Linked DNA regions of Drosophila melanogaster. The protein of the gene in region 1 interacts with the protein of each later gene in a pairwise test. Each region holds a gene or a part of one and is shown on either strand. Other genes may lie near its edges.

Evidence for each region.
Region 2: the proteins of CG4570 (region 1) and CG15011 interact in a two-hybrid assay, tested with the Drosophila melanogaster proteins (2 studies listed by BioGRID).

Annotation. Positions count from the first base shown.
Region 1 is NT_033777.3:10,854,842-10,858,786, forward strand, and holds CG4570 (uncharacterized protein), read left to right. Parts: upstream 1-1,965; 5' UTR 1,966-2,176; coding exon 2,177-3,004; 3' UTR 3,005-3,225; downstream 3,226-3,945. Other genes in the region: CG4511 (uncharacterized protein), read left to right, coding at 15-191, 453-926; CG14694 (uncharacterized protein), read right to left, coding at 3,379-3,640, 3,703-3,944.
Region 2 is NT_037436.4:4,255,207-4,260,849, forward strand, and holds CG15011 (uncharacterized protein), read right to left. Parts: upstream 3,947-5,643; 5' UTR 3,922-3,946; coding exon 3,807-3,921; intron 3,741-3,806; coding exon 3,130-3,740; intron 3,069-3,129; coding exon 2,910-3,068; intron 2,857-2,909; coding exon 2,740-2,856; intron 2,683-2,739; coding exon 2,566-2,682; intron 2,510-2,565; coding exon 2,378-2,509; intron 2,315-2,377; coding exon 2,106-2,314; intron 2,051-2,105; coding exon 1,870-2,050; intron 1,810-1,869; coding exon 1,354-1,809; intron 1,294-1,353; coding exon 868-1,293; 3' UTR 785-867; downstream 1-784. Other genes in the region: CG1265 (uncharacterized protein), read left to right, coding at 1-89, 404-524, 594-724; CG1309 (uncharacterized protein), read left to right, coding at 4,337-4,462, 4,538-4,851, 4,903-5,054, 5,162-5,643.

The DNA.
Region 1 (3,945 bases):
TGGAAGAGGACAACATGGCCAACATCCTGGAGAACCAACTGTTCACGGCCGCCAAGACCATCGAGCAGCAGCTGGACCAGCAGCTCGACCGCCTGGACAACCTCGATTCGGATGACCTAAAGGTCCTGCGGGAGCAGCGGCTCCGCGAAATGAAGGACCTGAACAACAAGAAGCAGGAGTGGCTCAGAAACGTAGGTGATCATCTCTTACAACACTCAATTATTGAAGATACTTCGAGATTGTTCTCTAAGTGGTATATGACCAAATGGTATTCAACATGCGACTTTTAAGACATTCGCGACACTTGCTTCGATTAATTCAAATTAGTTTTCAAATTGGGCTACCAGCTTAAATAGCTCAAAACTTAAATATATATGTAAAAATTAACTTTCAAAGAAAACCTTGTTAGCGCAACAATCTCATTAATCCCCAAAATTGCTAATCTTTTCCAGGGTCATGGCACCTACACCGAGCTGGCCGACGAAAAAGAGTTCTTCGAGATGTCGAAAAAGTCGCCCAACATTGTTTGCCACTTTTACCGCGACAGCACCGAGCGCTGCAAGATCGTGGACATGCACCTGAAGATCCTCGCGGCCAAGCACGTGGAGGCCAAGTTTTGCAAGGTGAATGCCGAAAAGACTCCATTCCTCACCCAGCGACTGCGCATCAAGGTGATACCCACCATCGCCCTGGTGAAGGACAGCAAGACCAAGGACTTCATTGTCGGATTCACCGATCTGGGCAACTGCGACGACTTCGCCACCGAAATGCTGGAGTGGCGCATCGCCCACTCGGGGGCCATTGACTACAAGGGCGATCTGATGCAGCCACCAGATGTGAAACGCAAACCATTCATCAACCGCCCACAGAAGACAATACGTGGAGGCTACGACTCGGATGACTCCGATATAGATCTGGATGACTAACTACGGGCAGTCCATCCCACACTCTCGATTACCCAAGCTCCAGCTTTCGTTCCACACTCCCACACAAGATACACTCAAAAGCGATGGAGTAACAAAAACGGACACACACAAATCAAAACCTAGCACATGGATCTAAACCAATTAGGCGTACTCTAGCGTTATTTATTTAATTATACGATTCCGATCCCTCTGCTACGGTCCCATCGCCACCTAGTGTAAGTGGCTAATTCGGTTGCCTTCCCCCCCGATTATGTGCTTTAATATCTATCAGTTCAATCAGCTGCCTCGAAGGCTGCGCCACTCTAGCGAGCTTAAGCGAACTCAAAATTTGATCTTTATGGTATTTGCAATTCCAAATGAATGTGCACCCTTTGCGTATATATGTTAAGTTGAGCATAGTTTTACAAACTGCCCTCGCCCTCCAGAAAACGGTGTACGTAAAACAAGAAACTAACATACACAGAGCATAAAAGACAAGAAACTAAATATCTGGCATATATATATTTTTAAAATTTCGATAAAAGGTGTATTGCATTTCCTACAGTAGAGGTAACTAACACTTACATATGTACAAGTTTTTATATTTATTTTTGTAATTCTACAAAGCATCAAAGGAAATCAACGATTAAATAGCATGTTCAAAACAATTGCAAGCGCTTGGTAATTGGTTGTAAACTTAAATGGTTCCCACACAGGTTTTTTGCATTTCAGATCGTACTCTTGGTAATATTTTATTTAAATCATACACGGGAAAGGCAGCTTTTTATTAAAATATGACTTTTTAACAAAAAGACTAGAATTTCTTTAAGAACTTATTATTTTCATCATTTATCGATATTATTAAACCTTACTTGGAAAACACAGAACTGATCATCGGGTTAAATAGTTTTGAATGAAATAATCCTGAAATAATAGGTTTGAACAAACTACGCTGCAGTTAAAGTAATGGTATTTCCCCGAACAGCTGATCATGAGATTCCGAAAATCCTCCCTTAACACAAGGGTTGCCAGTCTTGCCGCAGACGAATAACGGAATGGCCGCCAAAGACAAAAAGGGACGCCAACTGAATTTACCTGTAATGACGCCGTAATCCCGCCAATTGCAGCTTGCTCGCCATAAAACTACGGTCCAGACTATCGTCAAAATCGGTGCAAAAACTTTTACCTGCCAGGTGCATAAAACGCCCATCGAGGATTCGATTTACCATCATTGGTATTGTGAAACTCGAGGTGTACAGAAGTGATTCGAAATGGTTCTCGCTCCCGAAGTTCGAAGTATTGTGAAGGCGCTGAAGGGCTCGAACAGCTGTGAGGAGATAGCCCAGATCCTGGAGTGCGACGTGGAGAGCGTGATAAGCTGCATTCGTGAGTGTGAGCTGCTCGAGGGGAAGACTGCCACGCTGAGGTTGCCGCAAAAACTGAAAACAGCGGCGCCCGTGGCGGTTGCGCAGGAGGAGGAAAAGAAGCGCGATGTTGGCAGACCCAAGGTCCTGGAGAACCGGCAAATTGTCGAGCAAATGCTGAGCGACAATCCGCACTACACCTCCATCGATGTGCAGCGGGAGTTGGCCCGACACGGCATAGAGGTCAGCCGCAGGACCTTGCAGCGCAGGATCAGCGAGATTCGCTCCAAAGGCATACGGCAACCGAGAGGATCGCCACAGCCGAAGGAGCCCAGCACTTTCGGCCTCAGTGAGGGGGCGAAAAAAAGGAGGTTGGCCTGGGCCACCGCCCATCAGGATTGGACCGTGCGCGACTGGCGCAACATCTTCAACATGGACGATCTTAAATTCGTCGACGAATCAACGCCGCCAAAGGAGATCTTCCTTGACTCGCTGATGGGACCGGAGGGCAGTGTCTGCAATGACCTCAATCTCCTCGAGCAATTGATGGCCATCATCCAGCCGAGGATTCAGAATCAGGCGCCCAAAAATGTCAGCGAGTTTCGAGCCGTCTTGTACGACGTCTGGCACAGCGACCAGGACATGGTGGACAAAATTGAGATGCTCTACGAGTCGATGACGTGGCGGGTCTCAGCGGTCCTCCGCAACGGCGGGGATCAGACCGAGTTCTGCTAGCCAAGCTGTGGATTCCAATCGCACCCTGATTCTTGAATGTTGTATTGAAAATAACGACGTTCATGATCTTGTTTAATTTGACATATTATTAAGTTTGTAGTGGCCATATAATGTACATGGTACACTCTGATTAGATTCGCGGCGTAGGATTAAATATCTTCATTTTTTGAAACTATAACTATAAAAAAACATATACATTTTAATAAAGTGTAAAACAATATAATATCAACGATGTTTCAACAGCTTGGGAAATATTTCTTAAAAGTAATAATGTTTCAGAATACAAGCCAATTATTATTTTATTAAACAAACTTTAAATATGTATAACAATTTTATTTGATAAATGAACACTTTTTCATCATTAGAGTATGTTGTTAATTCGCCTCCTGAATTGCTTTTGGTTTCTTCGAAATTGACCATATATATTGCAATATAACAGCAATAGAATAGACTATTCCAATAACTATAAAATAGAATGCGTAGACGGAAAACTGTTGAAAAACATTCAAATTCAGATTGGCCTTTTCCGAGACGACGACAAATGTGAGGATGCACTGCAGGAGGAGTCCCACGAACGTGTTGAAACCAAACACCAGAGCGAAGCTATCCTCCTCCAAGCTGCTGGCCAACTCCGAGCTATAAGGTATTACGAGATTTGGTAAATTTCACCTGTTGGAAAAGGATCAAGAACTGCTTACCTGGCCACTGTTATGGTGAAGGCAAACAGGCCTCCATACAGCACATAGCCAAGATAGGACAGATATATATCATCGGTCCAGCAGGAAAGCAAAACACAACCTCCTTCCAGGACCGACAGCAGAGCCATCGAGAGCAGGCTGCTCCTGGTGTTCAGACGTCCAGCATGGAAATAACCGGCGAGAAGGGCGAACACAGCGCTTAGAAGCGTCAGGGCCACGTCCACAGCTCCATTCCAGGCTATC
Region 2 (5,643 bases), on another chromosome or scaffold:
GGACGCAAGTGGTGGCCATACTGTATAGTATAGTGGCCACTCTCATATACATGAAGCTCTTTCCCATTATCATCCTTAAGTTCCTGGTGGTGAGTAAGCCTGTATTGATATCACCTAGTGACTGATTAGTCGGGTATTCTTGCCCAGATAACGACTTCGGCGCAGTTCAAACCCGTTCCCCGCTCTCTTTTCCAATTAACTAATTATGTTTCCGGGCAAACGGGTTTGGTTTGATTTGTTATTTGTTTTAGTTTGAAAAGGCGGTGCTCTTAACTGGGCAGCATCTTCGCTCAAGGTCACCGATGTTTGTTGTATAATATTTGAGCGGCTATTAATACTTTCAGTGCTCGGGCAATATATATAAATCTCGTGAAATTCATCTAAATGTTTGATTTCCCGTCAGCCTTTCTGCACTCCCATTGGAGCCACGAGTAAGGTCCTCCAGCTGCTGGCTATTCTGAGGACCAAGGATGCCAGTTCCGTCAGTAGAACCACATGGGCGCTCTCCGCCTTTACAAACATGAGTGAGATCACATCTTGCATTCCATCACTTGATGTCATCAATTAACACATCATATATGTATCCCTTACAGCTCGAATCTACACGGTGTTCTTCCAGTCCCACGATTGGATGTTGCTATCAAACTTCCTGATTTCGACGTTCCTTAGCGCCTCCGTTTTCACCGCCGCTTGCGTCTACAAGAAGAAGGCCAAGGCGGAGTAATTGGCCAGCCTGATTAGAAAAGCTCAACATAGACAAACACTGCGCTGGCTGGAAATGCTTATCAGTCATTGTTTTAATTCTATTTGCTTATCTGTTTAAATTGATATTACAAATTCTTGTTTGAATCGGTTGTTGTTACTCGTTTAACTGTCCGCGTAGAAAGCCACCACAATTGCACCCACAACTGTTAGAATGGATACTGCATAGATTGCTCTACGTTGCCAATCGATCTTGGTCTTGGCCGGTCCAGAACCCACAGTTTTGCGCTCCTTGTGCTTGCGTTTGCCGAACTTGGCCTCGAACTTCTCGAGTTCCAGGCGGTTTCTTTCTTCCTCGTCGCGACGCTTTTGTTCCAGCTGCAGTTGCTCTGCCGCCTGGACGCGAATTTGCTCCGCCTTGCAGTTCGAGTCGCAATCCAAGAATGTCTGACCAGCACGGTGTTTGTCACAGGCAATCTCCTGCTTGAGTCGCTTGCAGGCGCAGAAAATGCGAACCTTCTTGCGGCACAACTCGGGATTTGGGCACTTGCCTGTGTGGCAGATGGCTGTGCAGCGATGTCCGCAAGGATACTGAAAAAATATATATATCACTGTAAGGCTTGATCGACAATGGTATATTACAGCACTTACATTCTTCAAGCATCGATTACCGCAGCTCCGTAGCTTTTCTCTTCGCTCGATGATCTCCTGGACCGATCCCGTTTCATCATAATACTCGTTGCACTTGTAAACCAACTGGTTGAGTCCACAGTGACACTTGGTCTTAATCACAAAGTTGCAGGGCGCACAGGGCGGTGGATGACATCCTTTGGGACAGGCGTGAATACATCCGGTTGGTCGGGGAACGGTGCAACCCTCCTCGCAGTTGGCACAGCCAGTTTGCGCAGACATATCCTGGGGAAGCGGTACGAAATGGCAAACCAATGAACACTTGTGATTGCCGCACTTAAGCTGACGTGCACACGATCGCTGACAGGAAGTGGGTTTGGAGTTCCAGCATGGCCAAGTGGCAACCTCATGACCTCCGATACAGGTGACAATGACGCCTTCCTCGCACCGTGGATGTGGTAATGCCTTATACTCATACTGTAAAACAAATTGTAGAGTTTTAATGTTGAGATAGGTGAGTTTTGTGATTATAGTTACCTTTTTGGCCTGTGGCCTAGCCTCTTTGGGTTTATTAACTCTAACTGCCTCGTGGCATCGTGCCTTACAGATGTGCCCACACTTGCTGGTGTCATTGGGTAGACCGCACACTTGGCCACATGGAGGACAGTCACCCTTGTGACAACGATGCTTAATGGCATGGTGACATTTGGGAGTTATGCTGCAAGAAGTGAGATTAAAAGTCGGTCATTATATATTGCGAAAGAAATACGAACCGACAGAGTTCCAAGCAGACAATGCGTGCACTTCTTTCCCTGCCACAAGGAACACTTTTTTTGGTCTTTCCACAGCGGCAGTTAATCTGGGATTCCAGTTTACACGGATAGCAAGGTCCGTTGTGGCACACGGACTGACATTTGTGCTTGTTGCAGCTCAGCTGCTTGCCACAAATCTTTTCGCACGGTGGACACTGGTCCCCACAGCACTTTAAAAAAGGTTATTGGTTAATTCGGCTGTATACATTTAAAATGCTTGCGTGCTCTTATACCTTTCTATTGCATGCATGCTTGCCGCAATCACGCATTTGCTTGCATTTAGTCTCGCATGCAAACTCTTTGGAGCAGGGCAACTCCTTTTCGTGCAGACCACAACGACACTTCTTTTTGGTTCTTATTGGGCACTGTAAGAAACATATTTCATTAGAGAATCGATTTGCTTCCCTGGTGGCTATCTTACGGAAATGCAAGGTCCACGATGACAACGCTGGGTGCAAGTGTGCTGGCCACAGGACAAAAGTTTTTGGCACGTATCGCCACAGGTTTCCTCTGTCTCATTACAGGGTCTTACCTGGGTCTACAGAATTAGGTAATCATAAATGAATATAAACTTGTAAATAAATATATCACATACATTCTTGCCGCATGGGCAACTCCTGACTTGCAAAGGACACTCTCCATCTCCGCAGGGTCCAGCGTGACACACCTTCTCGCAAATGTGCAAACCACAAGCAAATGGAGCTCCACAAACCTGAAAGAATATTAATGTTGTTTTATGCTTCAGCTTCAAAAGGCTTTTCTTACATTCTGACACTTCCATTTCCGATCGGAGCAGTTGACCATCTTCGACTCCCGCTGGCACTCGCAAGGTTGTAAGCTTTTGCTGGTGCATGGAGGACACTTTCCTGGCTGATGACACACCTGATTACATTTGTGCTTGCCGCAGGCTAGAAGTTCCTTGCACTGGAAAATCATTTTTTTAGTATGGTGGTCAGACAAAATTTCTTAAAACGTTAAGACTTACAGTCTGCTGACACGTCCACTGCTTGTCAATGCACCTCACGGACCTAGGACTAGATTTACCACACAGGCACGAGACCTGCGCCTGCTGCGCACAAGGAGGACATGGCCCCGGATGACATAGCAGCTTGCAATCGTGCCCACACTTCGGTTGCAAAAGCTTTCCGCAGTGCTCTCCGCATGAGTGGGGCACAAGGAAGGGCTGGTTCTCGGGGTTCACCTCCTTGCCGCAGAAGCAGTTGTACTGCGTGGGCTTATCGGCCGGTTGGTAGTCCCTGCGGCACTTGGGGCAGCACCAGTGAAGGGATTTCTGTCGCTTGGGCGGCACAAATTCGCCCAGATGATTGTAGTGGCCCTGGCCGTTCTGCTGCTCTGCCGCCTTTACCTTCATCTGCATCATGCTGTCGTTGGCCCACCGTTGGATGCACTTCAAGTGAAAGAAGCAGTAACAGCTCTCGCAAGACCAAATGGCCTCCACCCGCCGAATGCTTCCGATGCAAATGAGACAGGTTGCCGCTCCCGAGTGTAGAGTGTTTTCCAGAAACGTACTGGTGCGTGCCGCTTCCTTTGAGCTTCCTGCGTTGTCCGACGGTTTGTAGTTCTTGTATAGGAGTTCTGAAAAGATAAAGCACAAAATTTGATGGTTTTCAAATGACACGTCACAAGCATCGGTCGATTTACCCAAAATGTGATTCTCATCCAGTTCGCCTTCATCCTCGGAGCTGGAGGCGTAGGTGTCCACCAGTTTTTGGGCGGCAGCCAAATTTTTAGCTTGCGCTTTATTAAACTTTTCCATTTTTAAGCCGGCGTTTTTGTCTATCAACTGGGAATAAATTCCTGGGGTAGAACCAGGGATGGCTCGTTCTCTGATAACAGCAATTAGGGGATCTAGTTCCGAAAGGTACACATTTGTGTGAGCTTTCAGTTTCCAATTGGGAATTTCATTTAATTCAAAAAAAATACATACATACACATTAATACCTAAATTATCAAACATCCTCTCTGCATATTTTATTGCATTTAATAATTTGGACCAACATTTTGAAGTTTACAATTAATAGGTCAGGTATCTAATGTGGCAGCCCTGGTATTCGATGTTAAACATCTGTTCGTGAGTGCGACACCCTGGAACAGCTTTCACATCATTTGCAACAAAATAAAATAGAGAAAATTAAATATATCCAGACATACCGACTACGATCCGATCCAAGATGAGTTTCCTAAATTACGTGTTTGGCCCCAACCTCTACATGGAATACCGCGGTGTGCCGGAGCCGCAGCGCAAGATGTACGAGGCAGGTGCCGTGGAAAAGTTCGGGGAGCAGATTCTATCGACGGTAAGTGCCCTGCGATCCCATGGGGCAGAATCTGGAGCATATGGTAATGTGGAAAATCGACACTCTCCGTTGCAGCTATCGGTTATGTGGTCCGTGGGCTATTATACTTCTCCGCTGCTCGTCACATTCCTATACCGACGCGGCTACCTGGTGACCGATTCCATACCGACGCTGGCCAAGATCACCACCAGCGTGGGCCTCATCGTCATCCTATCGCTGGTGATGCGCGGCCTGGGGCGCAAGCAATCGCGCTCCTACTCCAACATGATTAAGGCCCTCGTCCGAGCAAAGTCCTCCAAGGCACCAGGAGATGCCAACAGCGAGCTGCGTCGCTTCGACATCGAGTTCAACGCTTGGCCGGTGGACTTTGATGTGAAAGCTCTAACCGGGTGAGTGGGCTACGCCTTTGAAGTGTGCCAGAATAACATCTTCGTTTTCAGTGATACCAAAAAGCCGGTGGTTACGGCTAGAAGGCGGGAGCCCATCCAGCTGGCGACACTGCCCTGTGAGGCCATCGCCTACCTGGCCATAAACACCTTTGGGCTCTCCATGATCTATCCGGGTTCGGTCAAACTACTCCAGAAACTTATGAGTAAGAAAGATATACATATGTGAAGCTGTCTGAAATGTTGTTAAATTGCAATCCGATAAGCCCATAAGATAGACTTCTACATATACTGAACCTAAAATATTTTGCAGGACCCATGCTGATCTCCGGACGCGCCAAGCTCATCGAGGATGACAACGGCATCCGCTACAAGGTTAAGACCATTGACTCGAACGAAATCGATACGTTGTTCATTGACAATCGCCCAAACAACGTGGGAAATGGCAAGACTCTAGTCATTTGCTCCGAGGGCAATGCCGGTTTTTATGAAGTGGGCATTATGGCCACCCCAGTGGCCTTAAAGTATTCCGTTTTGGGCTGGAATCATCCCGGATTTGCCGGCAGCACAGGCACTCCTCATCCCCACCAGGACAAGAACGCCATCGATGCCGTGGTGCAGTTTGCCATCAACAATCTTAGGTTCCCCGTAGAGGATATAATTTTGTATGGCTGGAGCATTGGTGGCTTTAGTACACTATACGCTGCCTCTGTGTATCCGGATGTCAAGGGAGTGGTACTAGACGCCACCTTCGACGATGTGCTCTACTTGGCCGTTCCTCGCATGCCAGCTGCA